2 linked regions of the Oryctolagus cuniculus genome follow. The protein of the gene in region 1 interacts with the protein of each later gene in a biochemical or structural test. Links are inferred from orthologs where the notes say so. Each region holds a gene or a part of one and is shown in the gene's direction. Other genes may lie near its edges. The genes, in order: BMP7 and ACVR1.

What was found.
Region 2: the proteins of BMP7 (region 1) and ACVR1 form a complex in vitro, tested with the Homo sapiens proteins (2 studies listed by BioGRID). The link is inferred for Oryctolagus cuniculus from reciprocal best matches to the Homo sapiens genes BMP7 and ACVR1.

The regions. Positions count from the first base shown.
Region 1 is NC_091442.1:4,586,174-4,590,432, forward strand, and holds the start of BMP7 (bone morphogenetic protein 7), read left to right. Parts: upstream 1-1,157; 5' UTR 1,158-1,296; coding exon 1,297-1,714; intron 1,715-4,259. UniProt on the Homo sapiens protein: Growth factor of the TGF-beta superfamily that plays important role in various biological processes, including embryogenesis, hematopoiesis, neurogenesis and skeletal morphogenesis.
Region 2 is NC_091434.1:84,308,084-84,311,941, forward strand, and holds the end of ACVR1 (activin receptor type-1), read left to right. Parts: intron 1-1,052; coding exon 1,053-1,183; intron 1,184-2,021; coding exon 2,022-2,156; 3' UTR 2,157-3,239; downstream 3,240-3,858. UniProt on the Homo sapiens protein: Bone morphogenetic protein (BMP) type I receptor that is involved in a wide variety of biological processes, including bone, heart, cartilage, nervous, and reproductive system development and regulation.

The DNA.
Region 1 (4,259 bases):
GTCCTGTGGGACACAGGGTCCTTTACTGATGGTGGGGGAGGAGAAAGGTTGGGGTGGGGCCCCAGGTCACCACCTGCTGCTGTCTGCTCCTCCCCGGGCCGATGGCGAGGTGGACAGTGGCTGGGCTGGGGCTTTCAGACCCCAGACCGAGGGAGGTCTTGTTCATTCCGTGAAGGCTGGCCACAGGCACGGGGTGGGGGGGGGGGGGCGGGCGCTGGGCTCCCAGGGCGTCGCGGCTCTAAGCGGGGCAGACGGCACAGTAGAGAGTGCAGTTCCGCACAGTGAAAGAAATTAAGGAAAAGAGAACAAAGTGGGTGGAGCCCAGGAGAGGACGCTGCTCGCCAGGGCGTTGGGAGCGGGAGCTCCGGGCAGAGGGAGAGGCAGGCCCCTGGAGGCGCGCAGGCCAGCGGGGCTGCAGTGCCAGGCGGAGGGGGCTGAGGGACCAGGCGGAGCCGGGGCCGCCGCCTCCCGGAAAGCCTGCCCCCTCCGCGCCGTTCCCGGCTTTTCCCAGCGCAGCCCGATCTCCATCGCTCCGGCCCGGGGCCTCCTTTCTTGCCCCCGAGGGGGCAGGGCCGGCCTGGGGTCCTCCCTCCGCATCCCGCGCGGTCGGGTCCCGCGGCGGGCGCCCCGTGGCCACTCGGTCAATATTTGCCGAGCGCGCTGGAAGAATGAATGAACCCATTGGGCACAGCTGGGGGGAGGGCGGGGCCGAGGGCAGGTGGGAGGCCGGCCCGGGAGGGGCCGGGCAAGCCCGTCCTCCGCCTCCCGGCTCGCAGGCCCCAGCGCGCACCGCTCCGGGGCTCCGGAGGCGGCCTCTGGGGCGATCAGGGGCGCGCGGGGCTGTGAGCGCGAGCCGGGGCCTCGCTCTCCCCGCCGGGGGTCGGCAGAGGGTGGGTCGCGGCCGCGCGAGGCGAAAGCAGCCGGAGGAAGGAGCGCTCGCCCGCCCGCCGCCTCGCCTCCTCCCCGGCGCTCGCTCTCGGGACGCCTAGGTTTGCTGGCTGCTCCTCCCACCCGCGCCCGCCTCCTCGCTCGCCTGCTTGCTCGCTCGCCGGAGCTGGTTTCCTAGCCGTGCGGTGCGCCCGGACGAGCGCGGGGCAAGGGGCCCGGGGCCAGCGCGGAGCAGGGTGGGGGGCGGGGGTCGGGGCAGAGCGCAGCCGGCCGGGGAGGGGCCATGTCTGGCGCGGGCGCAGCGGGGCCCGTCTACAGCAAGTGACCGAGCGGCGTGGACGGCCGCCTGCCCCCTCTGCCACCTGGGGAGGCGCGGAGCCTGGTGCCCGGAGCCCGCGAGCCGGCGCGATGCACGTGCGCTCGCTGCGAGCCGCGGCGCCGCACAGCTTCGTGGCGCTCTGGGCGCCCCTGTTCCTGCTGCGCTCCGCCCTGGCCGACTTCAGCCTGGACAACGAGGTGCACTCCAGCTTCATCCACCGGCGCCTCCGCAGCCAGGAGCGGCGCGAGATGCAGCGGGAGATCCTCTCCATCTTGGGCTTGCCGCACCGCCCGCGCCCCCACCTCCAGGGCAAGCACAACTCGGCGCCCATGTTCATGCTGGACTTGTACAATGCCATGGCGGTGGAGGAGGGCGGCGGGCCCGACGGCCAGGGCTTCTCCTACCCCTACAAGGCCGTCTTCAGCACCCAGGGCCCCCCTCTGGCCAGCCTGCAAGATAGCCGCTTCCTCACCGACGCGGACATGGTCATGAGCTTCGTGAACCTCGGTGAGTGAGGGCAGGGCGGCCGTGAGCGTCTCCGGTGGGGGCGTCTCGGCCCGGGGAGGGGGCCACTCCGCCCGTCCAGCGCGCCCATCTTTCCGCTCGTGGCCGGTTGCAACGCGGCAGCTGCTGTCTCCGGGTGTCCGAGCCCTCGGCCCTAGTGGACCCAAGCCGTGTGCACCCTCAGGTAGGGCGGACCGGCCTCAGCTGGCCTGTGCAAGTTGCTGGGAGGGAGGGAGGGGCCGACCGGACCGGAGCCCCCTCGGAGTTAGGTCACCCGCCGGGCCGCGGCTCAGTTCAAAGCGCCGGGGCTGGGTCATGTGAGCCGTCCCGGGCCGGCGCGGCCCCGCGCTACCTGGATTTAAAGGGCCGCGCTCGGGGAAGCCGCCTTCCCGCCCTCCCTCGGCTCCTCTCCCCGCAGCTGGGCCCCGGCACCGCGGACGTCGCCTTCCCTTCGTCTCCCCGGCGAGCCCTACCTGTCCCCTCGCGGCGCGCCAGCCTGGGCGAGCCGCGCGCTCCAAGCGCCTCTGGGCCCCTCTCCCGGCCGCCGGGCGCCCCCCTCGGCCCGGGCTCCCACGGCCGCAGCTGGGGAAGAGCCGTTGCCATTGCGAGCTTTCTATTTTAAATATGTAATGATAGGTCCCGGGCGGGCAGAATCCATTTTCAGCGTTTATCACGTGTGGCGCGCAAACCACCGGTTCTGGCGATTGGGTGGCGGGCGTCTCGGTGCAGACACCGCCGGGGGCGCCCGGGGCCCCCGGTTCCCGGCCCCAGCTGCCGGGAGGCGGGGTGGGGGCGCGCGAGGCACGCACCAGACTCGCACAAACTCACCCCCGGCAGCGCGCTCTGAGCGCTGAGGATCAAATATTTGGTTTCCGAGATAACACGCCCGGGTTAGCCGCTTTTATTCTACGTGTGCGCCGCGCCGCGGAAACCCAAACCAAGTCGGGGCAAGAGACCCACGACCGCGGGCGCCGTCAACCAGGAAGCGAGGGACACCGAAGCCCGGCGCTGGGCACAGGGGCGCGCATGGCGGCGGCTGGGGGCGCCCCGGGAAGCGCGGATCCGCCTCCCGGGCTTCCCGCTCCAGATAAGGTCCCTGAGGTTCCCGGGAGGCCATTGTCTGCCCTTAATAATGGCCAAGATCAAGTTGGGAACCGGAGCTTCCGCGGAGAAGGGGTGGAAGGGTCAGATGGCAAAATAACTTCGGGAAAGTTTAAATGAGGCTCTGCCGCCTGTTCAAGGGGGAGGCGGCGTCCTGGGTTTTGATCGAGAGCAATTCCCGGGGAGCCTGGGGTGGCAGGGAGCAAGGTGCAGGCCTCGAGGGTCACATGGGTGCTTGTCCCACTGGGACAAGATCTGGCAGCGCGGTGGGGCTGGGGGAGGGAGCCGGGGCTGTTTTCCTCCTGCGATTCCCTTTTTATGTTTGTCTTTATTGAAAGCAACATTCCGAATGTGTACATACAAGTCGATGAGGGCACTTGGGGCTCTGTGGTCCTCCAGGGCCGTGTCTCGGGTGGGGTTTGTGGGATCCTGGGTTCTGTTGTGTGCCGGTGGCTCCCACCGAGTGCGGCATCTCAGGTCCCGGCAGCTGCCTCCGGAGCTTGGCCAGGGTCATTACAGAAGTATCCGTAATCCCCAGCTCCTGTCCAGGCTCTGGAAAACCCAGCAGAAAGTACCCAGTTGCTCAGGCACAGGCAGCATGGCCGGCCCGGGAGAAGAGCTGGGTTGCTATGTGGGGGCCCCTGGACACTTGGCTGCACCGCCCCCCTCCTGGCAGCGGGAGCAAGCCGAGACCTGTTTGGGAAGGCCGCAGCTGGGTGGCTTTCCTCTGGCTGCACACACACCTTTCAATCCGCGGCTTTCATCTCGAAGGGACAAAGACCTGCTTGTCTGAGCCTCTTAATCAGCGGGGCTGGCTCTGGGCTTTGTGGACGCCCCCGCAACATCACTCCACATCAGAGGGCAGAGTGCATGGAGTTGTTTTCTTTCTCTCTCTGTCCCTAAACTCGAGGTGACGAGGTGGCTGAAGACCTGGGCTGCAGCCTGTGGACGCCTCCAAGGTCGGCCTTTAATTTCTGTGCAGTGACGGCACGGGGGTAAACTCGCTGTCTCTTCTGATCTACTGCTCGCTCGCTCGGAATTTCTCCATAGGAGGGACTTCCCGGGGGACTGGGGAGGGCTGGGGGTGTGTAGGAGACTTGTTCAGGCACTTGGATGGCTGCGAAGGACACTCTGTTTTTCCCCGGGGTTGCGGATCACCGTGGTGTGTGAGACACAGTTTTCTCCAGGATGGTTGATCCTGACACTTCACCTAGGGGAGAGGAATCACTCGTTCATCTGAAATCACCGCTCGTTCTCATCACAGGGGGGCTCTGGGGGCCCTCAGCTAGGATCTGGGGGGATGAGGGGGCAGGCGGCCTTCCCCCAGGGCCCCTCCCCCAGCGCATACCTCCGCTGCCCTGCAGGCCACGTGAGTGCGTGGGGGACCCCTGCCCGAGTTCTGAAGCCTTTTGCAGGCCTGGTGCGTTAATTCTTCCTTCTGTCTGCA
Region 2 (3,858 bases), on another chromosome or scaffold:
TGTAAGGGAGAGTTTATCCACCTTGCCTCGTCCTCTGCCTTCCCAGAAGGCTTATCTCTCTACATTTTATTTTGTGCCTTCAATATGAGACTAGGTAAGAGTGGCCTAAAACATATATCCGTGTCTGTAGTTGATGGGAACTCAGTACATGTAGAATGAATGAGTGGGGAAATGAGTATTTCATATGACATTATTTGCATCCCTTCCAGTATCCCTTCCAGTTGTAATTTTTTTACAAAATAATTTCATAACAAAAAGGGATATTTTGATTTTTTTAAAAAAGATTTACTTATTTATTCAAAATTAATATATATATATCTGAATTTTGAATAAATAAGTAAATATATATGTATATATGAGAGAGAGAGAAAGATATCTTCCATCTGCTGCTTTACTCCTCAGATGGGCACAGCTGCCCAGGCTGGGCCAGGCCAAGCTTCTTTGGGTCTCCCATGTAGATGGCTGGGGCACAAATACTTTGGCCATCTTCTGTTGCTTTCCCAGGCTATTAGCAGTGACGCAAACATTCATATGGGATGCCAGCATCACAGGTGGTGGCTTTACTCACTGTGCCACAGCACCAGTCGCTGATCATAGTTTTGATTTGCTTATTTGCCTGTTTGTGAAAAATTGTTATTTCTATTCCTGGTTTGAAATCATTAGATCTTTGTACTTTCTTTGAGGTGTCTTATCCCTTTCTGATCACCAAAGGAATTTTGTCCTAGACCTGCTATGCTTTATTGGGCACAATAGAGCTGTGCATATCTACTATTGCAGCATTTTTTTTCAATAACTGTGATTATAAGAGAAGTGGTCATATAGTTTCCTCTAACAGTTACCATTCCTGTAATTCCCTGCAAGGTATATACTTATTGCCTTGTTCTCTATTTACTTTAGGTTCTACCTGTAGGATCCAGAGCTGCCTTGGAGCATGAGGAAAGCGATCAGTTAGGTCTTTCCCCTGTCCCATTACAGTCTGTGACAGCCCTCCTAGATCCCCGGGGCAACCTCTACTCCCTTGCTGACCTAACGCCGTGCTTGTCCCATTGCAGGTATAGTGGAGGATTATAAGCCACCATTCTATGATGTGGTTCCCAATGACCCAAGTTTTGAAGATATGAGGAAAGTAGTCTGTGTTGATCAACAGAGGCCAAACATACCCAACAGATGGTTCTCAGACCCGGTAAGAGTTTCTGTATTTTGGAGCTGTCCTCATCTGCTGTTTGCTCGCTCTTGAGTTTGAGCTGGTGAAGTATCTGCATCATCTGCCCTGTGTGTCTGTTGCCCTTCCTCCCTATTTTATGAATTAGGCTCCTAAACCTTGCTGAATAGATTCGGAAAAGGAATTGTGCCTGATAGATCTTGCTAACTAACGACCCTATTTATGAGAATTTCAGTGATTTACTAGCTCTCCAGGAATTAGGACATTCATTCCTACTACTGCTAGCCCTAGGGCTGTAGTTTCAAGGGTAAACCAAGAAACCCTTGAGTGCTGGTTTGAATCTCCTGTCCATCTACATACCTGAAATTCCAAACATAAGCTACTCAGTGCTGAAGATCCTGTAGTCATAAATACAAAGGTACTTCAAAAAATTCGTGGAAAATTGGAATTAAATGGTAAGTTTATTTTGGTATAAAAAGTTTTGAAATCCCTGCATTCTTACAGTAGCAGATCTCAAACACTGAGAACTAATACATTTGTAAATTGTAGTATTATCTCTGGTTTTGTATTACTGCTGTTAATGCCCATAACAGTATCAAGGGGTGCATCATGGCCTGTGTAATTTACCTGATAAAGTAAGCTGGTAGTCCAAAGGACAGAGTCCATGAAACTTAAGAGCAGCTTCTTTATCAGCAGTTAAGACCTTGAGTATTTGCTTAAAGAAGATGGAAAAATAATGGCACCTTAACTTCACAAGACCTGCCAAGTTCTTCAGAACAGCTGACGTGGCTCCTGCCCAGCTTCCAGGGTCATTGAAAAGCCAGTTTGTCATTGTAGTGTGTGTCCTTTCTCTCCACAGACACTAACCTCTCTGGCCAAGCTGATGAAAGAATGCTGGTATCAGAATCCATCTGCAAGACTCACAGCTCTGCGTATCAAAAAGACTTTGACCAAAATTGATAATTCCCTAGACAAATTGAAAACTGACTGTTGACATTTTCGTGGTGTCAAGAAGGAAGATGTGACATTGTTGTTGTCCAGCTGGGACCTCATACCGGCCTGACTGGCTGTCAGAACAGAATCCCTGTCTCCCTCCCCAAGTGGCTGCTCTGACAAGGCAGATATCTTACCCAGCTGTGTGCTGGGGAGACACCAAAACCACCCTAACCTCGCTCAACGACTGTGAACTGGGCATTTCACGAACTGTTCACACCACAGAGACTAATGGTGGGCAGACACTGCTGCAAAGGTAGGGAACTGGAGGAACACAGAGAAATCCTAAAAGAGATCTGGGCATTAAGACAGTGGCTTTTGCATATCTTTCACAGGTCTCCTAGACACTCCCCACGGGAAACTCAAGGAGGTGGTGAATTTTAATCAGCAATATTGCCTGTGCTTCTCTTCTTTATTGCACTAGGAATTCTTTGCATTCCTTACTTGCACTGTTACTCTTAATTTTAAAGACCCAACCTGCCAAAACATTGGCTTTGTACTCCACTGGGCTGTCTTTGGTTAATAGGAATTCAATTTGGCAAAACAAAATGTAATGTCAGACTTTGCTGCATTTTACACATGTGCTGATGTTTACAATGATGCCGAACATTAGGAATTGTTTATATACAACTTTGCAAATTATTTATTACTTGTGCACTAAGCAGTTTTTACAAAACTGCCGTGTGCAAATGTTAAAGCTTATTTTTATGTGGTCTTATGATTTTATTACCGAAATGTTTTTAACACTATACTCTGAAATGGACATTTTCTTTTATTATCAGTTAAATTCACATTTTAAGTGCTTCACATTTGTATGTGTGTAGACTGTAACTTTTTTTTCAGTTCATATGCAGAACGTATTTAGTCCAGTACCCATGTGACACCACCGAATATATTACTGATTTAGAAGCAAAGATTTCAGTAGAATTTTAGTCCTGAACGCTGTGGGGAAAATGCATTTTCTTCGGAATTATCCATTATGTGCATTTAAACTCTGCCAGAAAAAAATAACTATTTTGTTTTAATCTACTTTTTGTATTTAGTAGTTATTTGTATAAATTAAATAAACTGTTTTCAAGTCAAACAGTGAAATTGTTTTTTAGTGTATGAAAAAGATCTGCATAACATAAAGCATTTTGCAATAGAAACACAAAATTTGTAAACTGATTTTGCTTTTCAGTTCTGCTAATGACCTTGAGGGTACAATAATGATGTACTACAGCTTGAATTTGGTATCAGAAAATTTGATTTTTATCTGTTTCTTCTCTTGGCTGTGGTTGCGTTTTTCCCTTTAGTTTCCCCAGCTATAAATCAGTTCTGTTACAGAACTCTCTGAGCTGCCTTTCTCCCAAGGAGACTGTGAATACAAGTGGGAGGAAGGGTAGCAAAGCATTTGGTTTAGTAGTTAAGTCCGATGTGAGCATAAAGTGGTCTTAGTCCTTAGTCCCACCTTGCTGCTTGGGAGAGTCCGATCTTGGTGTTTCTCACTTCTTGTACGCAGCAGGAGTCAAACAGTAGGGTTTAGAGCAGTCCAATAAGAGAAGAGGGGAGAAAATCCTCGAGCGTCCTGCAGAGGTAAGTTAGTAACCTCATTAGCATGCCTTCACTCGGAAAGGATATATTCTAGTCACATTTAGTGTCTTTGAAAATTAAAAAATAGATTTTTGATTCATGTTATACATAACATTTACTATCTAAACAGT